Lepisosteus oculatus: one gene and its partner. The protein of the gene in region 1 purifies or fractionates together with the protein of each later gene. This does not show direct contact. Links are inferred from orthologs where the notes say so. Each region holds a gene or a part of one and is shown on either strand. Other genes may lie near its edges.

Evidence for each region. The genes of interacting proteins can lie anywhere in the genome.
Region 2: the proteins of sqstm1 (region 1) and nipsnap1 purify together in Homo sapiens (affinity purification with mass spectrometry; 4 studies listed by BioGRID and IntAct, with this or other methods). This does not show direct contact. The link is inferred for Lepisosteus oculatus from reciprocal best matches to the Homo sapiens genes SQSTM1 and NIPSNAP1.

Annotation. Positions count from the first base shown.
Region 1 is NC_090706.1:33,992,404-34,002,948, forward strand, and holds the start of sqstm1 (sequestosome-1), read left to right. Parts: upstream 1-5,384; 5' UTR 5,385-5,660; coding exon 5,661-5,829; intron 5,830-7,011; coding exon 7,012-7,107; intron 7,108-7,484; coding exon 7,485-7,765; intron 7,766-8,304; coding exon 8,305-8,452; intron 8,453-9,065; coding exon 9,066-9,146; intron 9,147-9,293; coding exon 9,294-9,493; intron 9,494-9,693; coding exon 9,694-9,880; intron 9,881-10,173; coding exon 10,174-10,337; 3' UTR 10,338-10,545. UniProt on the Homo sapiens protein: Molecular adapter required for selective macroautophagy (aggrephagy) by acting as a bridge between polyubiquitinated proteins and autophagosomes.
Region 2 is NC_090717.1:4,645,200-4,656,662, forward strand, and holds the start of nipsnap1 (protein NipSnap homolog 1), read left to right. Parts: upstream 1-6,271; 5' UTR 6,272-6,477; coding exon 6,478-6,560; intron 6,561-7,324; coding exon 7,325-7,443; intron 7,444-7,665; coding exon 7,666-7,711; intron 7,712-7,998; coding exon 7,999-8,093; intron 8,094-8,449; coding exon 8,450-8,520; intron 8,521-9,779; coding exon 9,780-9,920; intron 9,921-10,060; coding exon 10,061-10,092; intron 10,093-10,728; coding exon 10,729-10,823; intron 10,824-11,463. Other genes in the region: lrrc74b (leucine-rich repeat-containing protein 74B), read left to right, coding at 38-180, 310-442, 611-817, 1,725-1,834, 2,024-2,139, 2,874-2,952, 3,247-3,342, 3,590-3,712 and 3 more.

The sequences.
Region 1 (10,545 bases):
ACGAAGAGGTCGTAAAATTTCAACTGTAAACAAATTACAAGTTTTGGAATGCATAAACTTAATATTTTAATACCTTCGCAGTTTTTATTCTCATGGCGCCTCACTCGATATTACCCTTGGGGCGATGCATTTAATACTATTGTAACGCATACGGCCACCATCGGCTGTGAGAGCCGGCTTACCAGCGCGGTGACGTCAGGCGGCAGCGGCGAGGGCGCATACCCACGTGAACCCCGTAGCGCTACAATACTAAGACATGACGCATGCCAACACGTTAACCATCTGTGACATAAACCTGTGTTTGTAATGTATGTAAAATCACCGTGATTGTAAGATATATGGTTTTTATTTTCTAAGGCACGTTTTCCTTTTCTTTCCCTACCGTGACACGCTGTTGCCAAGCCCATAGCTGTGGGATACCATCGCGACAAGTTATGATAGGGACCCCATTTATATTGCGGCAGTGTATATCACGACTGGCGCCTTGCTTCCATGCCACCCTGGCACCGCTGTCGCAACAAAGGTCTCATATCAGGACATGATATACCCAGACAGGTCGTGTCGCGATATATGGACTTGTGTAGCGACATGGGTTCAACATATCTTGCCAGGGTGTATCCTATTGCAACATATGGACTCCATGTCGTGACATGGGACAGGGCATTTTTGCCAGGGTACGCCATATCGCGATATGAGGGCTCCATGTCGCGACATGGGGCGGGGGGTGTTTTGTCATATCGCGATATGCGGGCTCCATGTCGCGACATGTGGGCGGGGCTTTTTTTCGGGGGTATGTCATATCGCGATATAGGGCCTTTCATGTCGCGACATGGGGTGGGGGCATTTTTGCCAGGGTACGCCATATCGCGATATGCGGGCTCCATGTCGCGACATGGGGCGGGGTGTATTTTTCATATCGCGATATATGGACTCCATGTCGTGACATGGGGCAGGGGCGTTTTGTCGGGGTATGTCCTATCGCGATATATGGACTTAATGTCGCGACTGTGGCACCGTGACAGTGATGGGTATCGCGATGTAATCGTGATGCGAGCACTCTTATCGTGACATGCTATTGGAGTCGTGAACGCGCTGTGAATGCCATGACATTCTTTGTCTGCTATTCAGTTTTGACCTCAGTGCGACTTCTCTTAGATTGATAAGTTATTGGAAACCAATGAATGTCTTACTGTATATCCAGCGTGCTCATAGAGCACACACGGTTAAGCACGACTACAGTATTTGGGACCAAGAAGAACCTCCATCACCTGTGTATCTGCATGTTCTCGGTACTTCCAGGTGGCGCTTTACCCAATCAGAGTGTCGATTCTCACTCTTCACCCAATCGCGGCCCGAGCTGTTCGGGGGTTTAGCCAATCACGGGTCTGAGAGCTGTTCAAGGAAGCAGCGCCAGGTGGATCGGCTTGTTTACTGTCAATGAGAATCTATTTTTAAAATGCTTTACTTATTTGCAAAGTAACTACATCGGCTTGGTTTTTAACGCCTTTATTGATTCACAATGTCCCGTGCTCTTCGAAATAAATACATTTGTATTTGCAATATAACTGTCTCCGCTGCTTTCTGTAATGAATACATCGTATTTGTACAATTTGATCGTGTATTTAAGGTAGGGGAAACACCTCCTGCTTTGTACTTAAAAATGAATAGAGATGTAAAGCCTATGATCATTATATTATTATGCTCGTGCTTCAAATTTTGTTTTTTATTGTTAAATTATATCGATCTTGAAACTAATACCTAAAAATGTGAATATGGGCTCTCGTGTTGTACCAGCGGTAATATGGAAACTGGGGTCTCTTCACCAATGCATGGAGTACACAAGCAATACATTTTCGAGAACATGGTTAAAAATTAAAAGAAAACACCTAACCCAATGAACTAACTCCTCCCTAAATGTAAGACAGTTTATTCGTGTAAAGGCTGCAAAGTCTGGGGTCAACTGATCAAAAGATCACAGCTGAAAGATCTAGTCGTGACTTTGCTGTTTTGTACGTCACGGAGTGACGTCACAGCCAGGAAAAGAAAGCGTGAAATGAGCCATACAGGAGATAGCTGTGTGAATCTGTGGGTTTGCAATAGACCAAAGCAGAGAGTCGGTGATGGGTAATGGATAGGTTTATGTCTAGAAATGGAAGAGTGATGGAAGATATGTTAACTGTATATTTGAGGGACTGGTGGAAGTTGGTGAAGTGATGCAGGAACTGCACTAGCTGGTCATTAGAGCATGAATTATTATTGTTGTTGCTGTTGTTGTTGTTAACAATGCATTTAATTTACATAACACACTACATTACAGCGAACTTCAATATGCTTCACATAAAAGACAAAACTAAAAAGAGAAGTCAATAAACATACCAATAACTAAGGTGGAAAAAGAAAAATGAGTCTGCAGTACTGAGGTTTTAAGGTCTCTTTTAAAAGTAAGTTGCTAGCAGTCAATTAAAACCAGAACCGCCCAGTATTTGTACAGCCTCTTTCCTAGGGCTGCCTTTTTGCTTAACCTGAATTCCTAGCTCTATGTGCACTGTTGCTGTTTATTAGCGCTTCTTGTCTGATATACAGTATGTAGAATAATAATAATAATAATAATAATAATAATAATAATAATAATAATAATAATAATTGCTTACACTTATATAGCGCAGGAAAATTCAGTATCTGGCACAGGATTCAAGCTAACTTCTAACCCCATCCTATTAAAGAGCAGAAACTGCTAAAACAGTTCAATAAACTTGATTAAGAAAGAGCTCAGAAAGAAGCAGACACAGGGATAGTTCTCTCTGTTCCAGGGCTGAAAACAATGTGCTCCTGTGTCACTCAGTCTGTGTCTTATATTGTACCTGTATTTTGTAGTCCTCTATTGTAATTTTACCTTTATTACATCACTATATTGTACTTCTGAAGGTATAGATGAAATTTTGAATCTTCTTTGTACAAATTGGAATTCTTTTTTGTAAATTGCTTTGGGTAAATACGACAGCTAAATTACTGTGATTATCAATAATGGATTTTACTACGTCAATGACATACACTCATGTAAGGAACCTTGATTCTTTTATTTAAATCCGAAAGGATGACAACAAATAAGCTGTATTTAAATGCCATCATATTCTAATACTTTTATGTTGTAATGCTGTATATTAGCGTCTAGACATTGTTTCATTTGACAACAGTACCTCTGCCTTGAATTTACACTGCGTTGCTTTATAGGAGTAAAGAGGAGACAATGACAAGTCGTTTGGCATGAACTTCTGGAACTTTCGTGATCTTTTCTTTAGTGATTCATAGGAGGTCCTGGTGGAAACGCGATACAAGAGAATAGCAATAGAATCATATGATTCGGATGAGTCATAGTCAGGTGACGTTACTCCTTCAGGAGGGGGAAGAGAGGGGGGGGCGAAGGGGGGTATTGCGACATACAATAATTCATAGCAACTTTCACTCTCTTTCGTCATTTTCAGGTAAAGGGGCAAATCAAGGCCTAGGCTCTCATGGTGATGCAGCATTTTATAGTATAGCTTTGTTAACCGATTTATAAGCTTATCAGCATCACATGCTTTTATGCTACCTGATGCAACCTCTTGTTTGTTTCTCTACACAGGACTTTATTATTCTCAATTTAAGGAAGATCCATAAGCAAATAAAAAAGAAAACTAAACCCAACTGCAGGTTGGAAATTATAAACCAGAACTGGCTTCCCGAAGCACAATTCATCAGGTTTTATGGGTCAATCTTAAATCCTCAAATTCTGAACCAGTAAGTTGGATTAAGTTAATTTTCACTACTGTAGCAGGTGAGGTGTTCAGCCGTTATCACCCATTATCAGGCAGATGCCTTTTTCTATAAGGGGCAGAATCTTTGTGTTGCCTATCCCAGGTGCAAGGTGAGACTGTACTGCACGAACCAGTTATCCTAGCCAACAGGCCCTTAGAAGGTAGAAATGGAGAACCTGAAGAACAACAACAGAAAAGGAGCATATATACTCCATAGAGGAGATGCCCCTGTCTGGAATCCAACCTAAGACCCAAAGCAGTAAGAAAAGTGGTCCTAACCACCATGCCACCACAATGTAATTTCATTTTTTGAAATAGAAAACACCAACATTTTGTAGCTCTCAAGGACCACAGTCAGTCATTTCTGACTCGGCATCACCAATTAATTTGCTGCTCATTCGCCGTAACTGTTGCTTGAAAAGCTGCACAGAACAGTTCCATGCGGTGAATGAGCTAATACAGAACCTGACTGACGCAACGTGTTAAACTGATCTGACCGTAAACGTGTTGCACGTCTTCAAAAACCTACGGGGTTAATTACTAGGGCCAGGGTTGTCCACCACCTGGTTACAAACTCAGGACCTGATGGCAGGTTTCTGTGCGGCTTCTTCTCTCTCGCCCTCCAGTACTTGAGTTTGAAACCCGCGGTGAGACAAAGTTGTCGATTCTGCCAGGCCTTGATAAGGCTCCTGCATAGTCTAGGCAAACAGCCGATACTCATAGAAGAGTACATACACACAGCCACGGCTGTTAAAAAGGCTGTTCAATATGTGTTGAACAAAAATGTTCCAAAACACAAGTTTGTGCCAATTTCCAGTGACTCATCTTCAACATGAGAGGGTGGCAGGTTCTGTACCTCGCCAACGCGCAGGAAAGACATTGAGGTGGATCTCTTACTTCATGCTGACTTGCAGATTGCCATCTTGCCTGATAAACAGAGGTTATTAGATAATGTGAAGACGGTCCCCCTAGTCTCTCTCATAGTGAAAATGACTGGTTATGATTTACTTTAAGTCACATTTCTTAAGATAACGAGGTACCTTCAAGTGAAGTTGAACAGGCTTTCTAAAACATTTATGTAGGTGGAAGGAAAATAGGTTTCGTCAGGGATGCCCGCTTTATACTGACTTCTGTACAAACCAGTGTTGTTTCTAATACTGAAATTGATACAATTCTAAAAAAGTATTTCCATTTATAAATTAAAAACATTACTGGCTCTGAATTTTGCTCCCTGAAATTAATATTTCCAGTCTTTTCTGTGTTCCCGCGAAAATCTTGAGTTTAGTTTTTAGAACCACTAGATGATACATAACTAATGTAATTGATAATTCACTCATGTCTTGCTTTTAACTCGTATTCTAACATGTATTTTCATGTATTGCATGTACCTCAGTAGTAGGATCATTTCTTTCTCGTATTACAGTTCCTTTTTTTTATACTGAATATTTTCTGTTTTACAGAAGCTGATATTTCCATTCTGTTTTCCCGCGCTGGGATGTCACTGTAAAAAAGTGCTTTGTCATTCTTCGACCTTCAACAACCCACTTTGAATAGGGCTCCATTCTGTTTACTTTGCTAAAGACTGGCTTGTTAGTAAACGCGAAGAAAAAAAGTGCGTTTTTTTACCAGACAGCTGGATTTCCCCCTATTCTCATAGCAACACCCTTTTAATTTTTTAGGATGCACAACCCCTGAAGAAATGCTGATTGGCTGGGGTACAGCATAAATACTAGCAAGGAGGCGGAACTACAACACAGCAGACTAGAAAGCTGCAGAAGTACAGTAGCTGGTTTATTCAAGTGCGCAATAAGGTTCACGGGTTCTCGTCGGAGCTGGTCAGGTGAAGATCGAAAAGAAGAGGTAACCATGTCGATGACAGTGAAAGCCTATCTCCTTGGGAAGGAGGATATCCACAAGGAGATCCGCAGGTTCGCCGTCGATCAAGAAGTGTCCAGCAGCTTTGAGTACTTAACTCGAAAAGTGGCCGAGGTTTTCCAAAGCCTCAGGAATGCCACTTTCCAGATGTACTATAAAGGTAAGAAACTTTGGGGGAAAAAAACGAGAACTTCAACCTGTTTGATGAGATGTCACGATTAAACTTGCTACTAAGTGCAGCTGTGAATTTGTATAGGTCAGCTGGGAGAAGCAAGCTACTTTGTTACATCACGAGGGCCTTTTGTTTATAATGTAGCCTGATGGCAAAGTGAGTTATGCAAATTGTACATTGTGGGTTGTGCTGTGCAGTCATTGTGACGCACTCACTTTTAGAACTCGCAGAAAATGGCAAGGATATTTATTACAAGATTGTCGGATGTTTCAGTTTGTTGCGTTGACCTTTATCAGTGTTTTATGGACTTATTGTTGGATTGTGTAACAAAATCGCGTTGCGCGTGACATTGGAAGCGGCTTTAACGTCGTTATTTTTAATACGTCAGGTGAAGAGAGAAGGGTTATTAATTACTGTAACCTGAATAATGTGGTACAGATATCTGTGATGGCAAGGGCTATCGCTTAATGAGCTACAGAGAAACAAAATTAACACTTAAAACGGATGTTAATCCTTGGCTACTAAACATTGAATATCGTTCTGTGACTTCATGACGCCGAGATATAGGTTCATTGTATTCTGCAGTCTACTGTACACGCAGTAAGATGGGACTGTCAGTCCTATCCAATTCCCACTGCTTATCAACGTTTTCCTTTGGTAGACTTCCGTGTATTGTCGGTTTATTGTTGTTTTTTTTCCTAATATCTGGAAGAATGGAATTGAGAACGTTCACAAAATGACTTCATCTAAATTCTATCGCTTCCCTCCCGTTAAAGTTTTACAAAACAAAGGTTTTCTGTTTGATATGTTAAGGAATACCCCTTAGCAGCAGTTGATACGAGCCGTATTAAATAACACTCCCATGGTTCGTCAAGACCAATGTCTGATGTGTCAGTTTGGTGATCATGTTCTTAACGCCCTGTTGCCCAATGAAAACAATGCATTATTTAATCCAAATGCGTTACTGAAACTCCTAAGTACAGCAGTAAGGCTCGTGGGAATGTTACCGAGACGTCGAAAACACCTCATTAGTAGAGACTGGAATACTTCAGTTGAGCTTGATTGCAGTTAAGGTAAAACTTTCCATAGCATCTCCTTTTTGTTCCCTGAGTAAATGACTAATTGTCTGTAAATTAAACCCTGCTAACTGACACTTTTTTTCCCCAACAGATGAGGATGGCGACTTGATTGCTTTCTCCTCTGATGATGAACTGATGATGGGACTTGCTTGTATAAAGGACGATACTTTTCGAGTCTTCATTAAAGGCAAGTTGTTTACCCTGGGTGAATCATTTACAGTTCTTAGGGGACCGACTAAATGTGTTTAAACAATGACTTCAAAGTTTGCTCTGTCACAAAACTAAGCCAGTTTTTTTTTTTTTAATATTGAGCAAAATCCATGAACACGAATACTTTTACCACTTGGAGGTAATGTGAAATTTAACGATTGGGGAAGTAGGCAATGTTTATTGAATTAATTTAAAGGTGGTGGCTCCACTCCTAGCTTTTAACTGTTAAATAGACATGTATCCTGTGCCACACTTTTTCTGTGAAACATGCTGCAGTATCCATTTTTAGGGACAGATAATCAGAAATCTCCTGTGCTCATGACCGTGGGTTTTTTTCCCCCCTTCACCCCACAGAGAAGAAGGAGTGCAAGCGGGACTTTCACCCCCATGGATTCCAGGGTCCTGATCGCCCCTTCCCTTTCCCCTTCTCCTTCCAATCCCCTCCCCCTCCCCCCTCCCATAACGCCGTGCACCCCAACGTGACCTGCGACGGCTGCGAGGGCCCAGTGGCTGGGACGCGCTTCAAGTGCACCGTCTGCCCCGACTACGACCTGTGCTCATCCTGCCAGGCCAAGGGGCAGCACAAGGAGCACCCCATGCTTCCCATCTGGGCTCCCCTGCAAAACATGTTTGAAGTAAGACGCCTGGCTGAGCCATGATCGGAACCGAACACTTCTTGGAAACCTTGTTTGTTCTAGATCAACATTATGACGGCTGTTCCTTTACAAAAACATTATCCCTGTTTTTAGACAATGACTATTCAGTCCAGATGACTAGCACAGCTGCATATCCTCTTCTGGGTTTCAAATAGTTCCATTACTTGTTTTAGCAAAATTCAAGGTTTAATTAAGTTTTGTGCTATGATATAACTGCTTTATATGCATTATATGTGCATGTTTCCCCCTTGGTGTGACAGAAGTTGTTTTTTACAGTTCTAAACTATGCCGAACCTTCCTGAAATGTCACTTTTCTACTCTGGTTCTAACTGGATCTGCCTGTATGGCTAAACTGCAAAATTGTCTGAACTGCTTTTTCTTCATAACCTCATATTGCTGTTTTGTATTTGTGAACTGTTTGGAGGGTTTCGTAAAACCTCAATATAATTTGTGTAAAAAAAGAAAATGTACACTCTTAGGCCTGGTTCGGTAGTTTAATCTTTTTTTTTTCCCCCTAGTGGTACCCGCGCGGGAAGTGGATGCGCAAGATGAGACATGGCTTCCCCCACTGCATGTGGGCTGGAGCCCAGAACAGGCCCCAAGCCAGCCAGGCTGGGCCCCAGCCTACGCCCCAGCCTGATCCGCAGAACACCCAGGAAGAAGCAGGTAAGCAGTCCCTAGCCTACAGCTCCTCACATCCTTTTTACCACTCTTCTGCCTTCATGTAAGCTAATGAACAAAAAGTAGCTTTGTCACGGATGTCGGAAAAGGCATGCTGTGGAATGGCCAGAAGAGCAAAAGAGACCCTATGCATAGTGGCAAAACTGGGGTTAGCCCGGGCTCAGGAGGTCAGACGATGTCGGGTAGAAACCTATGCCCTCAGGCTGCTGAGGAAATGACCTATTGGTAGGTGGGTCTCAAGACATCCGAACCCTCAATGCTGAGTGAGGAGGAAAGGGTGACCCGGAAATATATAGCCCCACACAAAGACACACCGGAAGGACAAGCAAAGCACAGGGAAACTAGGAACAGGACACAATAGGAGTGCCCCCTAGCTGTAGAGGGCTTGACAAACTTGCTTAGCTCATGCCTACTTCAAAAATAGACTCGACTTCTCAATCTTCTTATCTTCATATTTCCAAACTTTTTTAACTTTGAACAAGCAAGATTTCATATGGTCTTTAAGCCATGCAGCTTTCTATAAAATGAAGAACCAAAGACTGAATTGTCAGGTCTTAAAAATGGATTTGCTTTAAATCATTGTGGTCTTTCTTTACAGGTCAAACTTCTGTGCACCAGGATAGTGTGGATTATCTGAAAAACATTGGGGAGGGTGTGGCAGCCATGCTGAGTCCACTGGGTAAATCTGTTTTTGTATAAGGAATGTGCTAAATCTAAAAAGAGCACTGCTATGAATGATTACAGCTATGGTCCACTTAACTGATACTACATGACAACAAAGGACATGTCGAATCCTTCTTTTGACCAGTCCAAATGTTCTCTGCAGGCATTGATGTAGACATTGATGTGGAGCACAGAGGATCAAGGACCAAAGTGAACCCAACCCAGCCTGCTTCTGGAGACATGTCCAGTACCCAGGCTGGAAAAATAAGAGAGGACAGCCAGCCGAGTGGTGTTGAACCAATGGACAGTGAGCAGCCAACTGATGGGCAAAGTAACCTGCAAGCCACCAACAGTGGGGCAAAGGTACAGGTTTTATACCATATGCGTCTGTCTCCACCCCAGAAACCTGTTACAGATGTAATGATCATGGTCACGATTCCGATAATGAGACTTCATGCAAAATCCTGCTATTTTTCTTCTTCTGTTGCGGCAGTTTGAATAACCGAGTAGTTTCTTCTACTGATTAGTAATTAATTTACCAATTTAATTTTCACATCCAATAGGGGCAAAAAGAAACAACCAGTGATGAGGAGTGGACCCATCTCTCCCCAAAAGAAGTTGACCCCTCAACAGGGGAGCTGCAGTCCTTCAGGCTGGAGGAGGGATTTGCGGGGCCCAGTCCCCTTAGTGCTTCTGCACAAGGTCCTACTGGTCTGAGAGAGGCAGCCTTGTACCCACATCTTCCCCAAGGTAAATAGCTGGAGTTGGTCATGTGTATGTATCCTCCAACTTAATTCTGGACGTATTTACTACAAAAGCTAAAAACATGCTACATTGAGCTCACTAGTATTAACTGCACTTGGATATAAAGAAATAATTGGATCCATAATATCTACCAACTTTTAAATTATTAATCATTCTTTTAGTTCCATATTGGAGCACTTACAAAAAACCTCTTCAAGCCAGATCTTTGTTTTCATGTACAACTGTTGGGGAATCCTCAACTGCAGCCAAGAGTTAAGACGGTCTTGTTTCTTGTGCAGATGCAGACCCGCGCTTGGTGGAGTCCCTGGCTCAGATGCTGTCCATGGGTTTCACAGATGAAGGTGGATGGCTCACTCGTCTCCTTCACACCAAGAACTTTGACATTGGTGCGGCAATGGATGCCATCCATTTCTCCAAGCCTTCCGCACCACCAAAGAAGTAGACTTTCAACATGACACCCCAGCAGAGCAATGGCAGTTCCTACCTTTCGCTTTCCTGTAAAACTTCAGCAGGCATCACTGACAATAATACAAAGTCTCCAGATCACTTCTTGCACGTACAGTAGGGCTGAAGTTTTAAAAATGTAACAACTAGGAAAATATCCTAGAGTGCTAGACAGCCTACCCGCCGTTTTGGGAGAGATGTTGTAA
Region 2 (11,463 bases), on another chromosome or scaffold:
TATGATTATAAGTTCAGGTGTTCTTGATTTATTGAAGACATGAAGGAACCTTATGATCCCACTGGACATTCATGTTACAAGGCTGCCTGCAAGGTCTTTGGTGTGGTTCCGGTGTCATACTTCCTGCGTCACATGAATGATACAGAGCTCATAATGATGCATCATGGCCTCGGTCCACAGGTATAGCTGGTGAATCTCTTATAAATCTCTAGGTCTGTTTAATTTATTACTTGCTCTTTTTCTCCGAACAAATACAGTACATATCAGGCTTAAGAAACAGGAACTTACTTTCAAAATGTCCTTTTCTAGAGTGCCAAAGCTCTTGCTGTTCCCTTGGTAACCAACACATCCATCCTCAAGTTGAACCTGAGGGATAATTGGATTGAGGGGCTGGGCGGAGCTGCGATTGCAGAGATGCTGAAAGAAAACTGCTACATCACAGGTTCTGTTCTGGTTGTAAGGGCTCTGCCATCCTGTTCTGTCTCATCAGAAGCGTTTTTTAAATGAAACCTGCTCAGTGTATGAGCCATCAGCAAGAATTACATTGGCATTAACTGGAGAAGGGGGGCTTTAGCTAATCCTTCTCCCCCCAAAATTCTTTCTTTGCCAGAAATCGATTTGTCAGAGAACAAACTGGGAGAGAGAGGTGCCCAAGCCCTTTCCAGTATGCTCCTGGAGAACACCACCTTGGTCACTATCAGCCTCTCTGGGAATGACTTTGATGATCACGCTGCCAAGCACTTAGCTGAAGCCTTGGTGAGCAATCAGAAAGTGGAAAGCATGGTCCTGAGTCACAACATGATGGGAGACGGCGCAGGTACTGCCCGCGACAATGCCATGGGAAAATGAATAGGACAGTAATGTTTCCACATTAGAAGATGTTATTTTTTAACCTTCAGCTTCGTGACTCAAATAATGAGCCCTAGATTACGACTTAATGCTGAAGAACAAGTGTAAGCACCACCTTACTTTCCTTACTTACTGTGCCCTCTGTGGTGATCTGTACACCAGAACCAATGCTCACCTTTTAATTAAGTGTGCTGTAGGTAGTAGCATTAATTGTTGTTGGAAATGACTATGTTTATAACCATATATATATGATTAGTGCACAGGTTAGACAGATTCATTTCTACATGCTCGTTACAAGACAATTTAACATTAAAACATATGTAAACTACAGGAACCTGCAGGAAAGGAAAAGGCAGGCTTTTGTTTCTTAGTAGCACAGTGGATTACTGTCATAATCACATACAGTAGTGAGGGTTTCTGCCACTGCTTTTGGATCACTGCGTGACATGGCATACAAACATCTGTAAAGACTGTTACACAAATTTTACACTGTCCCAGAGCTCAGATGAAACGTGTTCTGTGCAACATTTTAAGACTTGTGAGCAAGAAACAGATGCCATGAAAGCATTATTGTTCTTCCAATAAAAATGTATTGAGAGGACTGAATTGGGAAACAATTAAGCTGCATAGCAACATCATTTAAGAAAGTTGCTTTGCAGATTATTGGACAACATAACAGGCTATCTTTCAGTTTGTTCCTTTTATTTGTTTTTTTTATGTGCTCACTTGTACAAACCACTAATATTATTTTGATTAGATGTTAAATATTATTTATCCCGTTCTTTTTCAAAGAAGATTCTTCAAAATCAACCAGAAACCAAAATGTCAGATGTCACTGGGGAAGTTCATCTGCTGTTTTGTGTTTGTTTCTTCAGGTGAGGCACTGGGCAATGCTATTGCTGAGAACACTGGATTGAAGACCCTCAATCTGAGCTGGAACTGTTTACGGGGAAAGAGCTCAATAGCAGTGGCAAAAGGTTTAGGGGTACTGTCCATTATCTGTTTTAATGCAACTTTCCATTTCTGAAAAAGCTCAGATGAAAATATTTTGGGGAGCGGAAGCATAAGACTACATACTTGTCTTTATATCTTAGTACTTTGTAAAATAAACATATTACATCTAACATAATAGTTTATAAATACACCTTATTTGACTATCATATTTTCATTTTAGGCAAACATATTTCTTCGAAAGCTAGACCTGTCGTACAATGGATTTGGGAAAGATGGAGCTGCAGCTCTCGGTGAAGCTCTTAAGGTGAACAATGTGCTTGAAGATTTGAACATCAGGTACAGTACAGTATGTGAAAGTAGAGTCTGAACTCAGATGAATGCCCACCATCCAATGAAAGTGTATTTCACTGTAAACTTAACTTTTGTCTCCCTCTTTCTGCTGATTTTAGCATAGCATGAAGAAACATGTAAAGTCTTTAAGTACCGACTGACATTATTAACTTACTGAAGAAAACTGTGTGCTTGAAAATGTCTATCCGGTGTAGATGGAAAGTTTTATACCTGTGCAACTCCTAGGAATAAATGCTGTAAATAGGTGTTTTTTCTGGTGAAAATTGAAGCGGACAGGCATGTCTCAGTAGTTGAATTTGAATTTGTTATAAAATACTACAACATGTTTCTATGTTTTAAAGAACGTGTTTCTAAAACAGGTGCCTGAGGGGTCTTGCATCTTTATCACAGCCAGAGCAGCCAATTAAAGAAACAATCTAATTATTTTCTTATTTCAAATCCATTGGATTTTTCCTGAGGTGTTTTACTGTTTATTACTCAGAGCATTCATGTCATTATGTGTGCAATTGCTGATAAAACACCTACGGATCTAGATAAAAGTATTAAAATTACATATTTAATTAATTAGACAGACTGTGCGACACAAGAGCTGGAAAACTACGAAAAGACGACATAATGACACCAAACCCTCCGGGAACTGAAGTTGAAACCCCTGCTTTAAAGATTTTGTCTTGCTCCCGTTTCCAAAGCTATCATTTTCTTGCATGTATCTGTTTTAGTAACAATCAGATCCCTCCTGAAGGTGCAGTGCGCTTTGCCATGGGACTCAAAGAAAACAAGACACTGAAGATCCTTAGTGTAAGATGTGAAATCTCTTACTTTTGAAATAATTCCTACGGTGTCCCCCGTACAGTAGATATGGGCACATAACACACCTGTTATTTTAGCTTGACATATCAAGCCATTTGTATTTTCTTTTTAAATAACCCTCTATACAATTCAGCAACAGTTATAGTTATAGGTACAGTTTTGAAAAGTAAGAATAGACTGACGTTAAGTACATGGGCCCCCTACAGAAATCTTAGATATCTACTTTACCATAAAGATTATTTAGGGATTAAAGGCACATTTCTTTCCCTTTCTCTTTTCTAGATGTCTCGAAATCCAATGCAGAGTGCTGGCTGTTATGGGATACTAAAATCAATGGAAGGGAACCCTGAATCTGCCATCGAGACCCTGGACTTCTCTGTACTACACCTTCGGCTTTAATTTGATTTTAGAATTATTCATATATATTTACTTTTCGTTGATGGCACAACTGTTGCTCTCAGTTACTGTTTTCTTCACGTCCTCATGCAAAACAATACACATCCTACAGAATGTTACGGATAACAGACATATTACATATTAAAATAGTTTGCTGTTATACTATTACTGTCCTTGTTTGAATGGGTGTGTGCATACTAATCAACGTTCTGTGTATATTTTTTCTCAGGACATCATCGTGAACAAGGATTTTGATGAATTGTACAACAAAGTCAAAGAAATGTTTCCGAACCTGCAGGTGAAACACGAAAGAAATGCAGACAGCTTTTCTTTCAAAACATCTAAAGTCCCAGTAAGTTGCTCAGCGAACAGCTTGTTGACGGACTGCAACTACTGTACAACACTCCACCTCGGGGAATATTATAACAGAATATGAATATTAATCTGTACTGCTAAAAACGCATAAAGCAATTTTATTTGTAACAGGGTAAAACAGACCCCCTTCTAGCGCAAGAATGATACTCAGAAGATAAAACCACCTGTCGAATCTATGAAAACGGTATATAATTATAGGTCAATGGTTTTTGTCGAATAAATACAGTCATCAGCCGACAAGGAAAAATTAAAGGTTAATTTCATCCTGAAAAGTAGGAAAAAACCACAATGTTTCGGCTGTTGAGTCTTAGTGTTAGAGTTATAGTTCTATATCTTTCTACTTGGAATTAACCTCCACTTGCTAGTTAGATTTTTTTTGTGTGTGTTCCAACTGCCTGTACAGTCATGCATAGATTTGAGATATATGTAGATGAAATGATAGAAAAATCTGTCTTTTTTAAAATTTTTACATCAAAAACATCCATCCATCCCTGCAATAGAGTATCAGAAAACCGCTTATTCATAACGAGGATCAACCTGTAACCTGTCCCAGAAGAATAGGGTGCAAGGAGGGAAGTTGCAAAAAGATCTGACATAAACAACATACTGTAGAAACTGTCACATCAATGCATAAATTACTGCAAGAAATATGGCTGTATTAAACGATAGCAGCTACAGAATCGAATCAATGGATGATTGCTGGACCTGCAATGAATGAGCAAACAATATCCAACCTCAAGTGCTCCTGTCACCTCTAGAAAGATCCCTTAGGAAAACTGAAGTATCACATAAAAAAGAACAACTTGAAGCTTGAGGATTCTTTTGACTCTGTGGAAGAGGGTGGAAGTGCTCTCATCACTAGAGCAGAGTTTCAGCTGGGACTCAAGGTTAGTAAACGCACAGCGCCTCTGTCATAAACCTGGAATGTGTAACATTATTACCATATAAATTGCCATTGCTCAAAAGCTCATGAGTGTTTTTTGTTTGATGCAGGGGATAGGAACCTGTTTAACCATGGAAGAAGTGCAGCAACTCATGGATGATCTTGATAAGGACAACTGTGGTGAGATTGACTTCAGGTACACTGAAATAATCTTTGTAACACCTTTTAGAGGAGTCTTAGCTGCACACTTTTGAACAAGCATATATTAATATGAAGAAAGCTAATGAGCCTTCTGAAGATACTGATTAGTTAGGATGTGTAGTCTAAAACATTTTTATGTTGTGTAGTATTTGAATGTGTCTGAGAGCCATGTGCTGTCCATATACTGCTATAGTGTACAGTATTAGATAGAGGCAAAAAACAAAACAATATTCTTTTGGTAATACAAATAATCCAGATGTGAGGAAATGAAACTGATTTCTCCTTCCTTTCTGTTTTTCTTGTGTTCTCTGGTTTAGTTTTATAATAGCCCCAGAGTGATGTGAGTTTACAACTGTTTTTGTTTTTCTGTTTTTCAGAGAGTTTAGCACATTGCTGAAGAAAGCTTAACACCGCATACTGTATCTGTCTATTATCGTGGGTACCTTGGACCGCTCTGGCATTTTGCACGAATAATAAAAAGATCACAATGTTGACTGTTTCTCCTTGTCTCCTTGTGTTTGAATCTTCTTTCGTCCCTTCACAAGTGGTGCATGTGTTTGTAACAGATTTAATGTTTTGTCCCCACAAAAAAAGCAACAGAATTGAATAAGTCAATAAGAGCATAAGAAGTGAATAAGTAAATTAAATTATAAATTGTTTCAGATTCATCTGAAAGTGTGAGTTATTTTCAACCTTACACAGGATAATAAAACACTTTCAAGTTCTAATATGAATACTGTATATATTATTCCTCTTTATGATTAGCTTAACGTACATTAGGAAAACACATCTTATTTACTTACTGTAGGTTATTGGGGAAACAGCAGAATGGTTAAGTCTGGGTGCCGAACACAAAAACACAGAGGTGTTGCAGTTTGTTAACAATAGTGCAACAGAAATTATACTGTACATGATGTTTCATATTAACAATGATAAGGTAGAAAAGTAAGCCTAGAGCAGGGTATGTGGTTTTGTTAAAAATAAATTAAGATAATGTAATGGATAATATTATTTGTGGGTGGGACTAGTTAATATTAGAATGACCAACATACATCTAAGTAACATAATTTTCTTAGTTATCCCGTGTATACGACAAATTAAAAAACATAATGCATACTGGCATGATAAGAGAACAGTATTTACATTTAGTAGCAGTACAAAGACTTTTACTAATTAATATACAGTATGATTAAGGACGGAAATAAATACATTCGTGTGCATCATTCACACTGTAAATGTATTAATAATTTGTTTTGTTCATAGAACGTGTTATTTTGATTTTGATTACATAACTTGTTTATTTTTTATTATTGTATATTAAAGACCATAGAGAGAGGTTTATATTACACACAGTGGGAAAAAAACAATAATTATAGGACATTATAAAAAAACAGTTGTTTGTAAGAGCCAGGCATACAGCCATTGGCTTGTTATTTTAGAGTCAATGAATCGATCTCCGTTGCGAAGATATTTTGTTCCTTAGTTATATTCAGGATCACGTCACTTGAACGTGTGCAACCTTTGAGCAGGAACTAAACTCGAGTGATTTGGGTGAATGTGACACACGGATCTACACGTGCGACACATCCAGAAACCACTGCAATTTCAGCCAGTATTTTTCTTTTAAATAAAGCACAGCGTTTTTAAAACACTAGAAGATGGCGGCGACGTGGTTTTTAAAACTGCCCAAACCCCAGCAATTACTGTGTAAGAATACTTTGGGGCTGTTCATCTTTAAAAGGTAAAGCCGAACTAGTTGCAAGGTTTAACAGAGAGCATGGTTTTGTTAAATATATATGTTTATTCTGCTGTTTATAGACTCCTGTCACTGCAGTGTTTTGTGCTTAGAAACGAAGGTGAAAGATGTGCCTGCAGGTGCATTGCAAATGCTCGTGTCCTGACGTTAGACAGGACGTTACACGTTTTCTAAAAGAAAAAAAAAAGAAAATGTATGATATTTTTAATTATGGCAGCTTCTTTGATCGGAAGGGTTCAGGCGCTCCGGTTGTAAAATACAATGAATGATGTTGTTGACCAGTTGTTAACAAAACAAATGGTTTCTGACCGTAATGGAGTCGATTCATTTTTCATTTTCCTATTTAGTAGTTGGTGTTCTAGGAAATAGCACGAAAGCTCACTAAATTACTATTCCGTGCAGATGTGAGGAAATGAAACACATTGAGAAAGGTCTAATGTCTAAGTCAATCGTTTTCCTGGTTCCTGAACTTTGCCCCTCGGGGCAGTAGGCGCTATCACATGACCACTACAGTTGATGTACTGAACAGGGAGTAGCCAGTGCTGAAAAACATCTGAAGTGGGCAATACTCAGCAATCAATTAGACTTATTTGTTGTGAGCTGCTTATTGGAAACATGCCGTCTTGGCAAACATACCTTTGACTGAAGCCTCTGAGACAGGCAAAATCAGAAATCGGTGTTTGTCTTGAAACATTGTTTATCAATATGTTTCTCACCCTACACCCCTTATCCGTCTCCCCATTTAATAGAGGTCTTGCAGACAAAAGCTGGTTCCAGTCTTTGTTTGTGCATAAAGTTGATCCCAGGAAAGATGCCCACTCCAACCTGCTGTCAAAAAAAGAGACCAGCAACCTGTACAAAATACAGTGTGAGTACAGATGACCTCAAATGGTGCTGCTGTTTCTTCAGGTAGTTTTTGAATTTATGCAGAATAATGCCACTGTTAAAATTCTGTAAAGCACTGTGTGCACTGGATTTCTCAATAACAACAACCCAACCATTCATATACAATATACACCCTGCACCCATGCAAACAGACTCTACTACAAACTCTTTGTGACTAAGCAGATTCTTTTCCTTCCTATTTCAGTTCACAATGTGAAACCAGAGTACCTAGACGCCTATAACAACTTATCGTAAGTAGTACATTGTATTTTATATTTTGACTCATTCACGCTTAGTTTAATCACTTCAGAGGATTATGGAGTCACCTTCATGGTGGTGAATGTGTATTTTATACATTTCAGAAGGGTCCACTGTGGTTTAGCTTATGCAGTTAATTTTTTAAAATCCACCAGTAATTAGCAATGACTTCATGATTATTATCAGTATGATTTACTCAGGTATTTCTTGCTCTGATCACACTTTCGGTGATAGAAGGAGTTCGAGTGTCAATTGTGGCATTGTTGTCTGTGGCCTGCAGAGCTGAGGTTCAGAACCGACTGCACTGTGACAAGGACTATCCTTGTGAGATAGTGGGAAGCTGGAACACTTGGTATGGGGAACAAGACCAAGCTGGTAAGTGTTTTCTGTAGCTCATTCAGTACTGCATTGAGCTCATGGCATACGTATTATACAAAAGCGTAGGAGATTTGTCATATGTTCACTATCCATCCATATTTATGGCACTTGACCAAAGTTGTAAAACGGACCCTTTTTTGTAGCTTTCTGCGTGATCAGTATGGTTATAGTAGTTCAGGTGGGTATTAAATGGTTATATGCTGATCTGCTGTTTCTCCTTGAAACAGAATACAAAGACGGGTGAAAAACCCGTGTTTGTATTCTTCAAGTGGTAAGGGTAAGTAATAGCGACCCCTGCTGTTTTCCAGTGGTAGGACAAAGCAATAGTTACCTGTGCTGTTCTGCTGTTGCAGTGCACCTCTGGCGATACTCTGGGGGTTATCCAGCCTTGACTGAATGTTTAAACAAGTTGTGGCAGGATAAGGTATGGAACTGGTTCTTGTTTTTTCCTTCATATTATAATTGATGGTCACTGATATTTGTTTCTGTTTGTCACTGTATGTGGTTCTTCTGTTGTTGGTGTGTTGACTGCATACAAAGGTAAGAGAAAGTTAAATCAAATTAATTGGTGAGGTTCTGGCTAAGCGTGTATATACAGGTACCTCTGTTTTGGTGACTTTACTGGAAACAATTCAGATATTGGAGAAACAGCATCATAAAGTTGAATATTAATAGTTTTAGGTAGTTGTCTTCAGGGATGAATTGATACATAACTACTAAAGATCCCAAGGTGTATAAATAGGCTTGCTCACTGTCACTTCTCTGGAAAGGATTTATAAAAATACATCACACCCCAGAAAATGCACTAAAAACACCAAGTAAACAATATGCAATAGTTATCATACTGTATGAGGTTACATAGTATACATTCTCTCTTCCTGTGGATTAAAGATATTTAGGCAGTCCATGTAGATTTAAAGAATGTCAAGAATCTCTTGTGAATGGAACATTGGTCTTCTAAAGTAACCTTGGTTTTTTTTTTTGTGATTTTGTTTTGCTCCTGTGATGATGCTCGTGTCATGTTTAGAAAGTGTTAAAGAAGTCAAATAGTGAAGTGTATGCATTCTGAATTACTCTGCTGTGCAAAAGTCTTTGGTGTCTTGGATGACAAGAGTTAAAATATGTGATTGTTATGAGCATCAGCAATGTACTGATGCCTTCATTAGTGTTTTCTTCTATGAAAATTACATTGAATGTTATTGAGCACATTGAATGCTTAGTTTAGATGAGAAGAAACCAAGCTTGTCACTTATTTTTCAATTCACATTGATTTTTAAAAAACTCACAGTGGTTCAATTGTAAATGTGAATATCCAATATAAAGTGTTGCAATAGCTATTCCATCATACAGTATCTATCAGTCAAGTCTAATTGATTCATTGTTCCCTATCATTAACGTATTTGTTTTCCACTGTACATCCGAACATACTGTTTGTAGTGCCAAATACAGGTCTATCAGGATAAGCTGGTTAGTTTAAAACAAATTAGCTCAAATATCAGTAGAATTAAGGGTTTGCATTAATAAGATTTTAATAGGATTTTTTGCACACCAATGAATGCACATATTTAATTGTAGAAATTATTTTGGAATAGAACAAGATGTACATGCGTGCTGTACTGTATGAAAAATTCTTACAGCTGGTTCTTGGTTGCTTGTGATATTCCATCTGCTGAATCCCTATAGGAGTACTTGGAGTTCCGGAAGGAGAGGAGTAAAATGCTGATCTCGCGCAGAAACCAGCTGCTTCTGGAGTTCAGCTTCTGGAATGAGCCGCTCTCCAGGGCAGGCCCCAATATCTATGAGCTGCGTACCTACAAACTGAAGGTTGAGTCCCGTCTATTGAGCAGCTTATCACACTGAAAATAGTTTTCTAATCATTCGAGCCCTTGGGAATGCCTATACACACATTCTTTTTTGCAGTTTCTGTAGTTTAATGTTATCGGTATCTTCATTTTATCTTCTAGCCTGGAACAATGATTGAGTGGGGAAATCACTGGTAAGCCCTTTTCTCTTACACATTTACTGCTGCCTTTCATGAACAAGATCCAGAGTGATAACGAAAAATGACTTTCACAGATACAAAAAATATTCTGTTCAAACTCACGACCTAGTCATATGGCTGTACAATATGCAATTTACAGCACCTTTTTACATTCTTTCCCGTCAGTGTTCCTGTATTTTGCCTGACTCGCGCATCTCAAAGTTTCTGCTTTAAACTTCAGAGGAAATCTTTGTTTTCTTTTAATATAAACAAAATTTCATAGTATTGCAAGGAGAGAAAACTGATTTAAAAAAAAACTAAGAACTCACCAGGTTCCACAGAACTAATGCAAATAATAGAAGAGTTTAATTCAAACTTTATACTGTATGTAAATTTAGGATGTCAGTTAAACTCTGTTTCCAAGTACAGTACATGAATTTCTGCAGTATAGGAGCAATTAGTACTAATGTGTGTGAGGGGTGTATTCTGAAGTGTTCACATCTCCAAAACCTACAGAAAATGTTCATTTTCAAATGAGTTCTGGATATGATTTAGGAGGTTTGTCTTCATTCCCTTAGATCACTTATAAAAGACTGTTGTCCTTGCAGATGTGCAAGGCGATGAGCTTTAACAAAGGCTATTTTTTGCTAGGGCTCGAGCCATTCAGAAACGTCAAGAAAACCAAGAAGCTGTGGGTGGATTCTTCACGCAGATCGGAGATCTGTATGTGGTCCATCATCTGTGGGGTGAGTTCAGAGAAAAGGCTAGGGTTCTGAAACGGTTAGTGTAGTGGAAAGCAGTAGACTTCGACCATAGATCAAAAACTGTTGTCTTCATTGGACTGGGATCTCAGTAGTTGTGCCAAATCAGCTTCAGATGGTTGTGCATTTAAGCTTCCTGCATTGAGCGTTTGAGTAAATACCATCCTTCCATTTTCCAAAAGCTGCGGAGCGGTGGCTCTGTGGTTAAGGATCTGCGCCTGTGGCTGGAAGGTTGCTGGTTCAAATCCCGCAGCCGGCAGAGGAATCCTACTCCGTTGGGCTCCTGAGCAAGCCTTAACCCCAACTGCTCCAGGGGCGCTGTACAATGGCAGACCCTGCGCTCTGACCCCAAGCTCTCTCCCTCTCTGTGTGTCTGTGTGTCTCATGGAGAGCAAGCTGGGGTATGCAAAAAGATAATTCCTAATGCAAGAAATTGTAAAGGGTTAATAAAGTAATGTTATTATATTATATTCCTGGTGAGGGTTGTGGCAACCTGGAGCTTAACCCAGAAACAAGGGGAGTAAGGCTTAAGTAAATACAGTTAAATGCAAATCAAGTTTAAGATGAGAGAGAGTATTGACAATCTTAAGACAACGCCAGGAGACTAGATTGATAAAGGTATGCA